3 linked regions of the Arabidopsis thaliana genome follow. The protein of the gene in region 1 interacts with the protein of each later gene in a biochemical or structural test. Each region holds a gene or a part of one and is shown in the gene's direction. Other genes may lie near its edges. The genes, in order: FKF1, PRR5 and CDF1.

Evidence for each region.
Region 2: the proteins of FKF1 (region 1) and PRR5 form a complex in vitro, tested with the Arabidopsis thaliana proteins (one study listed by BioGRID).
Region 3: the proteins of FKF1 (region 1) and CDF1 form a complex in vitro, tested with the Arabidopsis thaliana proteins (one study listed by BioGRID).

What each region holds. Positions count from the first base shown.
Region 1 is NC_003070.9:25,506,079-25,511,812, forward strand, and holds FKF1 (flavin-binding, kelch repeat, f box 1), read left to right. Parts: upstream 1-2,560; 5' UTR 2,561-2,658; coding exon 2,659-2,930; intron 2,931-3,031; coding exon 3,032-4,619; 3' UTR 4,620-4,829; downstream 4,830-5,734. Other genes in the region: MAP70-1 (microtubule-associated proteins 70-1), read right to left, coding at 5,314-5,353, 5,445-5,632, 5,714-5,734. UniProt on the Arabidopsis thaliana protein: Component of an E3 ubiquitin ligase complex that plays a central role in blue light-dependent circadian cycles.
Region 2 is NC_003076.8:8,354,886-8,360,811, reverse strand, and holds PRR5 (two-component response regulator-like protein), read left to right. Parts: upstream 1-2,265; coding exon 2,266-2,491; intron 2,492-2,746; coding exon 2,747-2,908; intron 2,909-2,987; coding exon 2,988-3,118; intron 3,119-3,273; coding exon 3,274-3,728; intron 3,729-3,821; coding exon 3,822-4,431; intron 4,432-4,515; coding exon 4,516-4,608; downstream 4,609-5,926. Other genes in the region: AT5G24460 (RING-H2 zinc finger protein), read right to left, coding at 5,095-5,926. UniProt on the Arabidopsis thaliana protein: Transcriptional repressor of CCA1 and LHY, thereby controlling photoperiodic flowering response. Involved in the positive and negative feedback loops of the circadian clock. With RVE8, forms a negative feedback loop of the circadian clock.
Region 3 is NC_003076.8:25,067,803-25,073,411, reverse strand, and holds CDF1 (cycling DOF factor 1), read left to right. Parts: upstream 1-2,300; 5' UTR 2,301-2,624; coding exon 2,625-2,717; intron 2,718-3,310; coding exon 3,311-4,114; 3' UTR 4,115-4,319; downstream 4,320-5,609. Other genes in the region: AT5G62440 (EMB514 (DUF3223)), read left to right, coding at 481-792. UniProt on the Arabidopsis thaliana protein: Transcription factor that binds specifically to a 5'-AA[AG]G-3' consensus core sequence. A flanking TGT sequence contributes to the specificity of binding. Regulates a photoperiodic flowering response. Transcriptional repressor of 'CONSTANS' expression.

The sequences.
Region 1 (5,734 bases):
TTTTAAACAAATATATATTTACATTCACTTATCTTCTTACAATGTGATTTGTCCCTTTTAAGGAATCTTGTCCCCCATAAATCATTTGGGACAAAAGAATAAATGAAAAATTTCTCACATTTAAACAAAAATGTTAACACTAACATATATTTAAAATCATATTCTTATTACATTATTTATTTTTAAAATCATACTATTTAAAAATGTTTTTCAATATAAATATATTCTTATTACATTATTTATTAATAAAACCATACTACTTTTTTTTCTTTTAGTATATGATCTCTTTAGTTTTTACTTTTTTGTCTTTTATGTTTTGTTTAATTAATAATCTCGAGTTTTATACTAAACTGAAAGTGCACATGAATATGATATGTATTAAGTTGGATATTGAATCCCACAAAATCAAAAGATTTGATGAACTAAAAAAGTTCACGCAGCAAATTTGTTTTTCATTTGCTGAAGTTTTTATTGACTAATTAATTAGTTAACTAAAACCTGAAAGAAAAGAAAAAACGGAGGTAATAGTTTAGGGTACTGACGTGTGAGCTTACGCAATTTTCGAATTAGGAAGTGAGCTAGATTCTAGGGCTGTGATACGTGAATGTATATACTTTCTGTTTCGTGTTCAAGTCATATTTTAGTTTTTGTTTTGGTAAAAGAAGTCATATTTTAGCTGTGAAATTACAAATATATTTTTGTGATAACATTATAAATATATATTAACATGTGGAACCCTAATTCTCATTAAACTGCTCACGTTAAAGCACATGCAGTACACCAACCATTTAAATTGTTTTGCTTAGCACGATTTTGTTTCATTCATGATTCAAAACTTCAATTTTTCTTCGTCTGTTTTTATATAAATATTCGAAACATTTATAGAATTTTTTTGTTTTTAATTTGTAATTTGGATGTGGTCAAAAATCATACTTGGATCTATATTGATGTTATACATTTCACGACTTCAAAAGAAACTATTGCTCGCTCTATTTCTGTCATTAATTAACTCATAACTTAACTTACACAAAAATTGAGATGATGACAATCATGAAACTATTTAAAAAGAAAAAGACCAGACCGGCCAATGTTAGACTAGGATTAGTGGCTATTATTCTAGTGACAGGGGTGCGATGAGTACCATTGTTTTTGAACATGTCTCTTTGTCTTCGCGATGAACCAAGCGGTCCCAAAAGTATTGGCAATAGATAGAGCCTCAATACCTTTAATTAATTATAAATTTCCCTGAATTTATATTCTCCAAAAATGAATGTTATTTTTTTCATCAATCAAAAAAAGTTGTTGGGTTTTAGTCCACCAAAAAGATGTTTGAGTTTCGATTGTTTGTGTTCAAAAAATCAAATTACATAACAAAAGCCAGAACTTTTTTTTATATCAAAAAGTAAAGAAAAAATAAGAAAAACAAAAAATCATAACTTTTTTTATTGAGGTGATAAGGAATGTAATTTATTGACGTCTTGTGAACCCGATATAAATCTAAAACTTGAAGTAGCTAATGAAACATAACAGGAAATGTTGGAGTGGTATAGAAATTACCTTTAATTTACCTTTAATTGTATAGAAATTAAAGATAAAATAAAAAGATAAATCTATGAAACAATTATTTTGTCTATATACCAAAAGGGTTAGTTTTCTTGTGTTTAGTTTTTTGGAATGGAAATATATTATTTAAATTGGAATATTTTTTTGGTTGAACACAATTGGAATATGTAAAGGTTGATTTCATGTACTTGAAAGATTATGGTCAGAAGCCTTCTCACACGGTTAAGAAAAATAAAAAAAATATGTTGTCTATTTATTTGGTTCAAATTAAGTTTTTGTGTGGGCTTTGTGGGCTAGCTATTTAGTATGGGCCTAGATCTGGACTTCTGTAAATCTTAGGACTACACTTAACTCTATTACTCTCATAGTATGCCACTATGTGGGGTCTATGGCCACTATTGCTATCAATTATTACATATTTACATTACTTACGTACATTTTCGTATTTCTAATGTAATTTTTTTGTTTAGAAACTTATATAAGTGGGAAGTTTTAGAGCTAAATCTGAATTTTCTCAACTGGGGAGAAAAACTCCCTTGTCTCATCATCCCATTCCACTCACCACGAAAACTCAATTTGTTACATTAACATTATGTGTAACCTTTTCGAGAATCGCGTTTCACAAAAATATCTATTATTTGACCAGAGTCAACGGTTACGTGAATCTGATTCCAATTGCGTTCCAACTTCCAAGTTCCAACACTTCACAAACAAAAACAAATATCTTCCCTCAAATCTCAATCTTCAAAAAAAAAACAAATATCTTTCACAAAATATGATGACGTGGAAGAAGCGAGTGGTTGAGTAGGCTAGATATTTTCTCGGAATATCCCCTGGTGACGTGTTACAATCGAACAAGAGTAGACTTACTTTTTTTAAACATACCCCTGATATATCCTTTTAATTACGAAAATTGCCACCAACTCCTGGCGCGAAGACTTCTTGCCTCGTCTTAAATATAAAGGGTATATTCGTCAATAAGTCACCAACTAAGCCAAGATATTTTAAAAGTTTAAACAGACACAAAAAGAAATAAAATATCATAAGGCTGAGAGCTTATCAGAGAAGAAGAAGATATTTCTGTAAGCGAGAAAAATGGCGAGAGAACATGCGATCGGAGAAGCCACCGGAAAACGAAAGAAACGCGGCAGAGTTGAAGAAGCAGAAGAATACTGTAACGATGGAATCGAAGAACAAGTAGAGGATGAGAAGCTTCCGTTAGAGGTTGGGATGTTCTATTACCCAATGACTCCGCCTTCGTTCATTGTTTCCGATGCTCTGGAGCCAGATTTTCCTTTGATCTATGTCAACAGAGTCTTCGAAGTCTTCACTGGCTATCGTGCCGATGAAGTTCTTGGTCGTAACTGGTATATTAATTTCTCCGATTTCCCCCTTTTTGAATTGGAGTGTGTTGTTATCAATTCTCTTGAATAATGCTGCATTTGTGGTTGAATCTGCTTGGTTTCAGTCGATTCCTACAGTACAGAGATCCTCGAGCTCAAAGGCGTCACCCATTGGTTGATCCTGTGGTTGTATCTGAGATTAGGAGATGTCTTGAAGAAGGTATTGAATTCCAAGGAGAGCTTCTTAATTTCAGAAAAGATGGTACTCCTTTGGTTAACAGACTACGGCTTGCTCCAATACGTGACGATGATGGAACCATTACACACGTAATTGGGATACAGGTCTTCTCTGAAACGACTATAGACCTTGACCGTGTCTCGTATCCTGTGTTCAAACATAAACAACAGCTTGATCAAACATCTGAGTGCTTGTTTCCAAGTGGAAGCCCGAGGTTTAAGGAGCATCATGAAGATTTCTGTGGGATATTGCAGCTATCTGATGAAGTTTTGGCTCATAACATCTTATCTCGGTTAACTCCAAGGGACGTTGCTTCAATTGGTTCTGCTTGCAGGAGGTTGAGGCAGTTGACGAAGAACGAGAGTGTGAGGAAGATGGTATGTCAGAATGCGTGGGGAAAAGAGATAACTGGAACACTGGAGATTATGACTAAGAAGCTAAGATGGGGTCGGTTAGCTAGAGAGCTCACCACTCTTGAAGCTGTGTGTTGGCGTAAATTTACTGTTGGAGGGATTGTACAACCTTCCCGCTGCAATTTCAGCGCGTGTGCTGTTGGGAACCGGCTTGTGCTATTTGGTGGGGAAGGGGTTAACATGCAGCCATTGGATGATACTTTTGTTCTCAATCTTGATGCAGAGTGTCCTGAGTGGCAGCGTGTGAGGGTGACGTCGTCGCCTCCAGGACGTTGGGGACACACACTCTCGTGTCTCAACGGGTCGTGGTTGGTAGTCTTTGGAGGGTGTGGAAGACAAGGATTGCTTAATGATGTATTTGTGCTTGATCTAGACGCTAAGCATCCCACATGGAAGGAAGTAGCAGGAGGAACTCCTCCATTGCCAAGATCTTGGCACAGCTCGTGCACCATTGAGGGCTCTAAACTGGTTGTCTCAGGTGGCTGCACAGACGCTGGAGTGCTTCTCAGCGACACCTTCTTGTTGGATCTGACAACAGATAAACCGACATGGAAAGAGATCCCGACATCATGGGCTCCTCCTTCTAGACTTGGGCATTCTTTATCGGTCTTTGGTCGGACTAAAATCCTAATGTTTGGCGGGCTTGCAAATAGTGGTCATCTAAAGCTAAGGTCAGGGGAGGCATACACTATAGACTTGGAGGATGAAGAACCAAGATGGAGAGAGCTTGAGTGTAGCGCATTCCCAGGCGTGGTTGTACCGCCTCCAAGACTAGACCATGTGGCTGTGAGCATGCCGTGTGGTAGGGTCATCATCTTTGGAGGGTCGATTGCAGGGCTTCACTCTCCTTCGCAACTGTTTCTAATAGATCCTGCAGAAGAGAAACCGTCATGGAGGATCCTGAATGTCCCCGGGAAACCGCCTAAGTTAGCTTGGGGACATAGCACATGCGTTGTTGGAGGAACTAGAGTATTGGTCCTTGGTGGTCACACTGGTGAGGAATGGATACTCAATGAATTACATGAACTCTGCTTGGCTAGCCGGCAAGACTCGGATCTGTAAAGACTCTTTCCTTCTTCATTTGGTTTGTGGTTTTGTATCTGTCACATTCCAAACTCTTACGACATGTAGAAGAGATATATCAGAAGCTAGAAGCGTGTGTACATAGTAAATTAGTGATTGTTGTACGCTTTAGATAGATATTCATGTAATGTTAATGGTTTTGCTGTATGAAGATCCTTCTATAATATACTTCTCCTTGTTACTCGACCATGCAGGATTTGATTTTTGACGTACCATCCAAAAGAGAGAAGACACTGAGTTTGGACATATATATATATATCCACAAACCCAAAAGTAGAAATAATCACACAACACCTCAAGTAAATAGAATGAAGAAACCGAAAAAGTAAAGTACACAAACTTCAATACAGAGCTAAAACCTATACAGCCAAACAAACTACTTCCATAGGACAGAAAATGTTATGCGAAAATGTCAAACATCTCTCCCTCCACCCTTTTTTCTTGTCGTCATCGCTAAGCAGTGTAAGCCGATCTAAGTCAGAAAGCATACTTATCTTTTTCATCCTTAAGTTCTATGGTAATTCAATAAATCACAGAGGATGTAAAGGAAAGCAAGAGAAATAAAAAAGAGATATAAAGGTTAAAAAGAGCTTAAAAATCACACCAGCCTATAACGGTTTTACTTGTTTAAACTGATACGACCACAAGAACTAGTCACATCTCCTCCCTCATCTCATTGTGTACTCCTTGTTAACCCACTTCGGCCAGCAGCTCTGCAGAATATCGAACACCAAGCTTAGTCTGATTGCTAAAATCGCAATTTGATCATAAAAATAGACAAAGATATTCAACATTGTTAGATACCTTGCAGCAAGAATCTGGGCGGTGTTGGATGAGGGTTTGGTGTTTGAAGACCTTTTAGCTCTATTATCCTGATCTTTATCCACACGCATTGCAGCAACCTCTTTCTCCATTGCAGCCACTTCCCTTCTCATCTTCTTTGCTTCAACTTCCATTGCCTTTGTTAAAGTTTCAACCTTTTTTGCTAACATCTACAAGAAAAATATCAAGACTTCCATTACAAACACGTCTTTTTAACAACATTTTATATGGTACATTCAGAGAGATTTTACCTCTATGGCATCATCCTTGTC
Region 2 (5,926 bases), on another chromosome or scaffold:
TGTAATTTATCAAATAAGTATTGATCATAGAACAGTGATTACTTTTAAAAACAGTTGCTAATGTTTTAAAAATGTAATTCTTTCTCGAATTTCGTACTTTCTATTACATATTATAAAAAAATAACTTATTATTTAGATACCACAGTAAAGTTGTTATCCGTAAAAATTATTTGACATTATATATCGTTATCATCATTATACAAATTTTTTTTGATAATTCAGATGATTTTAATGGTTTTTTATGTCCAAAGAGTAATCTTCAAGCCCGAAAAAACTATGTTAAAATTCGAACTTCGGTGACCAATATTACTGAAATCCAAATGACGAATAATTATTTTCTGGTTTATTATTGGACGAATGCGACTTAATTATTTTGTCTATTTTATATCATTTCTATTAGCAACATCATAATAAAATTTCTAATATATGCTGTCAATTATGTGACCAGCAACAATATAGTAAAACAATGTTAATTAAACCCATCTAACAACAATAAAAATTTGTCACTGACATAGTTTTCCTATATAGCACTTATTTTTCTTTTGTCAATAAAACACGCCGGCCTAAACCTATTTCTCAGTTTAACGCATGAAGTGCTAGTACAAGGAACTAAACCACCTGGCTTATTATTAACCATTTTCTTCATTTGTTTGATTGATCATTACACTAATTGTCCTTTTTTATTACCTAGTAGTTTACTAAGTTTGATTAAGAGAAGAAAACCATAGGGTCCAGTCAATAAAAAAGAAAGTCATAGCGTAGGACAAGACTCTTGTTACAAGAGAGCGAGTAGGAGAGATATATTACACTCGCGGGCGCGTAAAGAGACAAGGAAAAAAGAAGATATTTAGTCTCTGACAGTGACAGCTACCATTTAAAGGTGAAAGACTGTGTCAGATAATAACCATACACGTGTCATATTCCTATCCACCAAAGAACCACGAGGTTTTTAAACAAGTGTCTCTAATCTAATCCCACCCAACAACAAAATATCTAGCCGCGGAAAATTACTTTAAAATTCATCACCCTTTGTCCCTACTCTTGACTCGTGCATGTTCCATTTGATTTATTCCACCACGCAACCAAAATAGTAGCAATAGAAAAAACCAAAATGTTGATAAAAATTTGGTAAACTATGAATCTCTATGATCGATATTCATTTGTTTGATTGTTCCATTTCTTTTCTAATGCAAATCAATATTAAAGTGTTCTTATTTCGTGACTAAAATATATGGCTGGCCGAAAAAATATAAAATAATATATGACATTTGCTATTAGTTAGCACCAGTGATCATTTGGTGTAAGCAAATGTTTTTTGTGCCAAAAAATAATATTGAAATATATGTATAATTAATTCATTAACAAAAAGTTCTTATTTGTTATTTCAGAAAATAAATTATACCATGTGTCCTTGATTTTCTTATGTGAAAAAAAATTGAAATATCCTTATTGTTTTTAAAATAAACAAATTGCAAACCTATGTACCAAACAGAAAATAATACAATTGTTTTTGGATAAATTTGTATAGATACTTTTTCCCACTAGCATTAGATATTTTTTGGGTTTGGTATTATCCCAAAAGTCACGAGTGGGATTTTTATAGGTACTCAAAAGCTAAAATGTCTGAACAATAATATAAAATACATTTTAAAATAAAAGTAAAATTTAGAAGCATCAAATAAGTAATAGTTTCAATGTTTAGTGTTGATCTCTTATTAAAAGAAAAATAAACAAGAAATTCACTAAATATTTCTCCATCACAAATACATAAACATCAATTGCAATAAATATTTTGGTAAAGTATAATAAAAAATTAAATCCAACTTTAAATATGAACCACATAGAAAAACCAAAGGCTAGCCACCACACCAATTTTTTCTTAAAAGAAGGTTATTTGGCGTATTGGATCTCTTTTGTCTCGTATACAGTATTTTGCTGATGTGGCAAACGTGGCCACGTCAGCCAATTCTACTAGATATTTTTTCAAATCCAAATACTCTTTCCACAACCGTTAGATCATGGTCGGTTCGCCACCCACTTTCAATCATAACCGTTAAAACATTCGCTAGATTTTTTCTAGATATTTTCTTTTCTCCACACTATTATAGAAAGAATAAAGTTCTTTTTTTTGCTCTCTTCTCATTTATCTCTCCACTCACAAATATTTTGATTTGTTTTGTAACTGTTTCTCTTTCTCTGGAGCTTTCTTCTTCTTCTTCAATAATCGATTTAGGTTTTTCAAAGCTAAGTGTTTGTGTTGTGATAATGACTAGTAGCGAGGAAGTAGTTGAAGTGACGGTGGTTAAAGCACCTGAAGCTGGCGGAGGAAAGTTATCACGTCGGAAGATTCGGAAGAAAGACGCCGGTGTTGATGGTTTGGTGAAGTGGGAGAGATTTCTCCCGAAAATCGCGCTTAGAGTTTTGCTCGTTGAAGCTGATGATTCTACTAGACAGATTATCGCTGCTCTTCTCAGGAAATGTAGTTACAGAGGTTAGTTTCTGGTTTCAATGCTTGAGATTTAGGTTTTGTTTGTATAGAATCTGAGAATTATGAATTCGATTGAGATGCTAATGTTTTGAATCTGATTCGCGTGCGGCTAAATGTTACAATTCAAAGTCAAATTTAGAAAAGTCAACGATTTTTTTGTCGGTTTTGTGTTCATATAGAAATCTTTATCAACGCTTAGTTTCTACAACAAGCTAAAAGGATTTGTATTAATGTGGTTTGGTTTTGTGTATTGATCAGTTGCTGCAGTACCTGATGGCTTAAAAGCTTGGGAGATGCTAAAAGGAAAGCCTGAAAGTGTTGATTTGATATTAACAGAGGTTGATCTACCTTCAATATCTGGATATGCTCTGCTAACACTTATCATGGAGCATGATATTTGCAAGAACATTCCTGTTATAAGTACGTTGATATATACATCTTTTTCTTCCATCGTTTTGAAATGATTTTTTGGCTCATTATGTATTGTTTTTTTTTCCAGTGATGTCGACACAGGACTCGGTGAATACTGTGTATAAGTGTATGTTGAAAGGTGCGGCTGATTATCTTGTTAAGCCGTTGAGGAGGAATGAGCTTAGAAATCTTTGGCAGCATGTCTGGAGAAGACAAACTGTATGTTTCATATCCATCTTTTGTTTTAAGCTTTATGTGTGATGAATTATCTCTACAACTTAAACCCGTTCTTATATAAGTTCTGGGAAATTTCGTTGTCTTGAAAAGATGATTGAGTTCTCAGATTTGTTTTTGGTTTTGATTATCTTTTACAGTCACTTGCTCCTGATAGCTTTCCATGGAATGAGAGTGTTGGACAGCAGAAAGCCGAGGGTGCGTCTGCAAACAACTCGAACGGAAAGAGAGACGATCATGTTGTGAGTGGGAATGGTGGTGATGCCCAGAGCTCGTGTACAAGACCAGAGATGGAAGGTGAGAGCGCAGACGTGGAGGTTAGTGCGAGAGACGCAGTACAGATGGAGTGCGCAAAGTCTCAGTTTAATGAGACACGGCTTCTAGCAAATGAGTTGCAGAGTAAGCAAGCAGAAGCCATTGACTTCATGGGAGCATCGTTTAGAAGAACTGGACGACGTAACAGAGAAGAAAGTGTTGCTCAATACGAATCTCGGATAGAGCTTGATCTTTCTCTGAGAAGACCTAATGCTTCTGAGAACCAATCTTCTGGAGACCGGCCTTCTCTTCATCCTTCTAGTGCCTCAGCTTTCACACGGTGAGTTGTCTAATTTCTCAATTCTTCTTTCTATTAATCGTTCAATAGTTGTCGTTCTTTCTGCTGATTGTGTGTGTTATGTTCTTGTTGCAGGTACGTTCACAGGCCGTTGCAGACACAATGTTCAGCCTCCCCAGTGGTTACTGATCAAAGAAAGAATGTTGCAGCAAGTCAAGATGATAACATTGTGCTAATGAACCAATACAATACATCTGAACCGCCTCCAAATGCTCCAAGAAGAAACGACACCAGCTTTTACACTGGAGCTGACTCACCTGGTCCACCGTTTAGTAATCAGCTGAATTCTTGGCCGGGACAGAGTTCATACCCTACGCCAACCCCTATCAACAATATACAGTTCAGAGATCCCAACACAGCTTATACATCTGCAATGGCTCCTGCTTCACTCTCCCCAAGCCCTAGTTCCGTTAGCCCGCATGAGTACAGTTCCATGTTTCACCCATTCAACAGTAAACCCGAGGGGTTACAAGACCGGGATTGTTCCATGGATGTAGATGAGAGGAGATACGTCTCTTCTGCAACCGAACATAGTGCAATAGGCAATCACATTGATCAGCTTATTGAGAAGAAGAACGAAGATGGCTATTCATTATCCGTCGGGAAAATTCAGCAATCTCTTCAACGAGAAGCCGCTTTAACCAAATTCCGAATGAAGCGAAAGGACAGATGTTATGAGAAAAAGGTAAAAACTTAACTTCGATGGTTCCATCACATAGATGAACTCATAACGTAATGATACTAAAGGAACCTTTGAATGACTTAACAGGTTCGTTACGAGAGCCGGAAGAAATTAGCAGAGCAACGACCACGAATCAAAGGCCAATTCGTTCGTCAAGTCCAATCCACACAAGCTCCATAGTGATCCAACAAATTGATATATTATATACAGTTCAATTTTGTATCATCAACTAGAGGAATTTTGTTTTCTCCGATGCAGGAGCTGTTCTTTGTACAACTAATTCCACATACGTTAGATTTGGTGACACATTTGTGTGTACATACACATCTTTCGAGCTTGTTGTTGAGTTTTAGTTAGAATCTACGTTAGATCTGTAACTACATACATTTGGATTACGTTTCTGTAACTTGCAAGACGAATTAGAAAGATTGACAAAATCTCAGCTAAACAAATTTCAGCACAAAACAATGAACTCGAAGAAGATAAGCTATAGTGAGATCAAAACTTCTGGAGAATAGTATCCACTAACACAAAAATAGCCAAACGAAGAAGATGATTATGAACATATATAAATGTGTATATGTATCTCTACATGGCTCTCTGATTATTCATGTATCAAAAGCAAGATTGATAAAATTTGTGAAAAGCTTTGTTTTGAGATTTTTTTTAAGATCGAATCGAATCAGGACTAACCCATTTCCAGTAATGTCGTTTCACAGTTACAGCATTCCCAGCGGCGAGTGTTTCAACCGAATCTTTCGTCGAGTCTCCTCCCTCGTACTCTTTTTCCTCCGTACAGAAATCTTGCTCCGGTAATCCCTCCACCGTTGCATTCACAGAGTGAAGAGCGTAACGCGCCGGTAATCCTGGATACGATAGCGAGTTCCTTTCTTCAACTCTTCTGTTATAAGTTCCGGGAAGAATCTTAATTCTCTGTCCAATGTTATCACCATCGCCATTGAAGATAGATCCGAGCTCTTCTTTTATGGCGCGAAAAACTGCTTCGTCGGGAGATTCTTCAGGCTTCATTTTCTCTGATAAAGGACGAAATCTTTCACGAATACTCCCATCGGATAATTCCTGATGAGCTTCCACTAGGATTCGTCCGTTTTTTCCGATTACTCGAACGGTGACGACGTTGACGGTGCGTACTGGAGGAGTTGAATCGGCGAGAGAAGTTTCGCCGTCGGAGAGTTCTAGCCAGAGGTTATGAACGTTTTTGGTTCCCGGTTTGACTCCCCAAGCGGCGAATGAATCGGAAGGTAATCGCGATTCGAGCCAATCGGAGAGAGATTGAGGATTAGCGAAGCGTTGAGTAGGAGGAGGAGGAGGAGGAGATCGGCGAGACATGGCGGTGATGGATCGACGGCGAGGATTTAGAGGGAAAGAGAATCTGTTCGGAGGAAGAGAGACTAGAGGTTTAGGAGATGACCAGAGGAAAAGGAGAGAGACCGCCGCGAGGAAAATATCAGGTAAAGCGGAGGTGACGGTTGCGTTA
Region 3 (5,609 bases), on another chromosome or scaffold:
AAGAAATTGAGAATTGGGTTCGCCTTTGTATTGGTCATATGATTTGATTTTGGATTCAGTGTTTGGTGTTAGAATTTTGTTTTTGTCTCAAATTAGTGGTTGTTTACAATGATTGTGGATATTGTATTATGTTTAGGGAGATGATTGTGGATATTGTATTATGTTTAGGGAGAGGATTAGTGAAGTGGAGATAGCTTGTAAATTGGACTCCTTTGCAGCTTTTTTACTAGTTGAAAAGTTCAAATGTATCGTGTTCTTACTGATTATATGATTGTGGATTGTGTGTGAATTAGAAAGTTTTTTTGGGTCTTGATGTCATATAATGGTTAGAAGAATGAAGTTAATGTCAAATTTTGAGGGCACAAATAAAAGATAAAACATTGCATAGTCATGTAATATATTACAGTTGTTGCAGTTTCTTTTGAGCTTCCAACTAACTAACTCGTTGTACTGAACTTTGTTCTGGATTGTACATTTCAGTATGAGCACATGGTGCTGCTAGATCTGATTAAGAAGGGCCATTCTGAGCCTGAAAAGAAGATTGGAGGAGGAATCAAAACCTTCCAAGTAAGAACCCACCCAATGTGGAAAAGCAGATGCTTCTTTCTGGTTAGGGAAGACGATACTGCAGACGATTTCAGCTTCAGGAAGTGTGTTGATCAAATCCTCCCATTGCCTGAAAACATGAAGACTCCTGGAGCTAACGGCAATGGACATGGTGGAGGTCGCGGTGGCGGTGGTGGAAGAAGAGGCGGTCGTGGTGGTGGTAGAGGAGGGAGATTCAGAAGATGAATATGCTGACACTTGATGCCTTATTTCAAAAGAAAATTTTGAAAATTTCAGATTTAGTTCTTTTGCCAAAAACTTTAAAAGTTATGATCTTGTCTAATGCAACTGCTTTTTGTTGGAGAAAAATTGTCAGTTTATATAACCCATTATTGCTGAAGAAGAAGAATATTGTCCCTACTATCTTGACAACATCAGAAAAAAACACAGACGCGTCAATAGAACTAAAAATCTGGTTGATCTAGTTTTTAAAAACCAATAATTCAAAAACGAAAAACTCAAATCAAAATCTAGATGAAAAAAAAACACTTTCCATTGATAGTGTAGTGTTGATCTGGTTGCTAAATGATAATGTTAAATAAAAAGAATTGGGGAAGTTATGAAAAACCGACATTTTGACTTTGGTAACTTACTGTGTGTGACATGTTCACCGTTTACGACCCTTCTAAGAGAAAGACAATGCCCTCAAACTAAAGCTGTCTTAAATCTTAACCCTGCTAAAAAATGATTACATGAAGTGATAACACTGGTTGGCACACGTCTTGGAATAATGGATTATTTTGAAACACATTATGAATTATAAAGAAACATTATCCGATATTCGGTATTCGGATTAATATTCCAAATTGTCTTCTTACACAATATACAAATAGACACATACACAAATTGTCTTTTGAAGATGCAACAAATTTTGTTTTGTTAAGCCTTCTTAGATTTAGGAAGCTTCTTAACTACGATCTTACTGCAACACAATCAGTTTGTGAAATCTATGATCTGACCAAGATGCAGGTGAGTAAGGGACCTACAGTAGAAGTTGACATGGAAAAAAGGCAGAGTTTGGTAAATCATAAAATGTGGCAGAGACCTTTTTGGTAATAGCCAATGAGAGAGCACCTCATATCTATTACCTTCTTCTGCAGTCTTCTTATCTTAACGTACAACCGTTCACTTAATGAAATTCGTCAATGGATGTTATATGGTTGTGAAGTTTTTTTTTTGTTTTTTTTTTTATAATTGATTTTCTATTAATGGTTGTGATTAATCTTTGTGTATAAAAGAAGGGTATATGTTTCTCCAAACCAAAAAGTGTAGATCGTTTTCAAATGAAGGATTTTTATCCTTCTACCAACCAATTAAGAAATTGCACGTAACAAGACAGCTCTCGTGTGAGCTGCACCAAAGCCATCCCCGCGATGCTGACATTTACCTACCCAAAAGTTTCTAAACAGTTTACATAATTGTTTTTTTTTCTTCAATTCAACAATAGATAGATAATTGTTAAGATATGTTAGAAATCTTATATCAGTATTATATATAACGAAGCGTGTTTATAAAAACACTTTTTCTGAAAACTTTATTGCATCCTCGTAGGAGCACTTCGTTTTTTATCGTTCAAACTTGTTATGCATTTGTTCCATGTATATAACTACATAAGACCTTTTTGATCTGTTTGGTTAACGGAAAGTTTAGTGAAAATCTAAAACATATAAAAAAATCGATTCTTCGAATAGTTTTGACAAAGTTTAAAGAAAATAACAAAAGATTATATGCTATGGGTTTTAATGGGGTTTGGGAGAAAAGTAAAATATCAGAGGCCACATAAACTTGTGGTCTAGAATCAAACCAAAATGCTGACCTGGCATCCACTTCACTTTTTAAAACGTATCAAAATCCCAAATCTCACGATTTCCAAACCAAAAATTTCCAAACTACCCAAACCCCCCACAAAACATCTTCGAAGAGAAACAAAAAAAAACACCCTGAAAAGAAAGGAAAAGAGACACAGAGAGTCAGAAACTTACGAGTAAAAAAGAGCACATCTTAGGAAAACGATAATAATGCTGGAAACTAAAGATCCTGCGATAAAGCTCTTTGGTATGAAAATTCCTTTCCCGACGGTTTTAGAGGTTGCTGATGAAGAAGAAGAAAAGGTACTCATTATTATGTCTACTTTTTTGTTTCTGAAAGGGCTGAGTATGTTTTGTTATATACAAGTATAGAGAAAATGAGTTTTGGTGTTTTGAAAAGGGTATTTGAGTTTTTGTTCATTTTCCCATCAAAGGCAACTGTTTTCTTTTTTTGGTATCGTTTTATATTCATAGTTGATGAATTGGTAAACTTTTTGGAGAATTCCTAAGAAAATACACTTAAACCATCTGTTTAATTAAAACTCTAGTTCTCTGTTGGTGAACCAGAGGTTGCAATTTGGTTTGATGACTTTTCATGAAACGAAAAAGCATATTCGTTTCTCCATAAAGTAATCATATTTTTTAGTGAAAAAGGTTGCTTTATAGTATACACACTGAAACCAATAAAGGTGAGCGAATTTAGACTTCTAACTAAAGCGTGTTCTTTAAAAGACTTTTTCCTCCACCAAAATTTCATCTAGAACCTTCTTCTTGAGAATCATACTCATTATAATACAAAGTTTTAAATTCATTTCTGTTTAACATGCTTCAAAAATGTTATTCTTTCTTTATTCATCATCCGTCCCTAATAATCCGATTTCATTGTCTTGCATCAGAACCAAAACAAGACATTAACTGATCAATCGGAGAAAGACAAAACCCTAAAGAAACCAACCAAGATTCTTCCATGTCCAAGATGCAACAGCATGGAGACTAAGTTCTGTTACTACAACAACTACAACGTAAACCAACCTCGCCATTTTTGTAAAGCTTGTCAGAGATATTGGACCTCAGGTGGGACCATGAGAAGTGTTCCAATCGGAGCAGGACGGCGCAAGAACAAGAACAACTCACCAACTTCACATTACCACCATGTGACTATCTCCGAAACAAATGGTCCGGTCCTTAGTTTCAGCCTCGGAGATGATCAAAAGGTCTCGAGTAATAGGTTTGGTAATCAAAAGCTAGTTGCTAGGATAGAGAACAATGACGAGCGCTCTAATAACAACACTTCGAACGGTTTGAATTGTTTTCCGGGAGTTTCGTGGCCGTACACGTGGAATCCTGCGTTTTACCCGGTTTACCCTTATTGGAGCATGCCAGTGTTGTCTTCTCCGGTAAGTTCAAGTCCTACTTCTACTCTTGGTAAGCATTCGAGAGACGAAGACGAGACGGTGAAGCAAAAACAGAGGAATGGATCTGTATTGGTTCCAAAGACTTTGAGAATTGATGATCCTAATGAAGCTGCAAAGAGTTCGATATGGACAACACTTGGGATCAAGAACGAAGTTATGTTCAATGGGTTTGGTTCGAAGAAAGAGGTTAAGCTCAGTAACAAAGAAGAAACAGAGACCTCACTTGTTCTTTGTGCAAACCCTGCTGCGTTATCAAGATCAATCAATTTCCATGAGCAGATGTGATTGTATACATATGATATATACGTGTATGTATGTATAGATGTGGTGGAAGATTAAGTTAGATCCATCAAAATCTGACTTTTTTGTTCTTTCGTTGTGGCTTACATGAAGCTTTATAATAGCTTTTGTACCATATACTTTTTAGTCTTTTAAGTTTGATTTTTGTTGTAAGATTAAATACGATGAAATAAAAGTTCTTTTTGACCGTTATCTTGCATTCAAATTAAATACGCTGTTAAAAGCTAACAGTAAAAATATAAAAAAACTGTTGTGAGATTTGAGATAGACATCTGATTTACTTTAAACACGAGTGGATAAGTAAAGTAAGATAAGATAATGTAAAAAGATTTCTTGAATTTGACCTCTTTTGTGCGATAACTAACAGTTGTGTCATGTGTGCTGGTGCGGGTGGGCACGATAAAACAGCACAAAACATAATAATGTTGAATATGGAAAACAAAGCAAACAGCAACAAATAAAATAAACTATAATGAAATTAGATTTAATCAAGTTTTGCAGAGTTTTTAAATTATCGTTAGTTAATCTATTTACTTTTATTTTGACTTTCTTTGCAACTTAGCCCCTTTTAATGGAGTGTTGTATTTTAGATCATTTTCGTGTAATGTTTTTTTGGTAAAGTACATAGTATTTTTGGATAATAAATATCCTAGATTGATTAAAAAATTTAGTTCTTGGATAATTTGTTGACCAACCGTATCAAACGAATGTACTTTAACGAATACTTCTCTAATCAAAACCTGGTATAAAGGTTTTTTTAGATTAAAACGAGGAATATATGGAAAAAAATCAGAAATAGACGTCGAGACAGTCTGTATATAATCATTTGTTTGCTTATTTTTACTTCCTTTTAACTAATTATGCTGAAAAAGATGGATCATTGTGCTCCCAAATTCATTTATTTTTATGAACTTTGGTCTGTGTGTCTGATAGCAACTTAGATATTTTGGACAGCTCAACTAATATTAGCCACAAATGTGATTATCCTAAACCATTTTTTATTATTTCCTTTGAAATTGTTAATAACGTGGGACAGAGTATTTTTTTTGGCTGAAAGTAAAGAGCAGGACACGTTGCTTTTTCATTCTTTTGAATATAGACAGTATTATCTCTGCGACCCAAAAATATTCAATATCATAAATTCTCTAATTGTTCATACATTATTATTATTTTCTTTCCTCCACATATGGAACAAAATAAGAATGCATATATGAAACAGTATTTAACGTCGATCACTAGAGTCGATTTGAATCAAACAGCTTTGTAACCACGTTCAACCATTTTTCTTGGTTATTCAGATATCTTTTTTTTTTTTATGTCATTGAATTTGTGTCTTGATGTCATTGAATGTTATTGAATTTGTGTCTTCAAACAATTTCTGTAAATTTTATTATCTCATGTATTATTGCAAAAAAAAGGTTCAACACAAAGCACATAATAAATATTAAAGAAGGTTTTGATTTAGTAAAAAAAAAGAGAC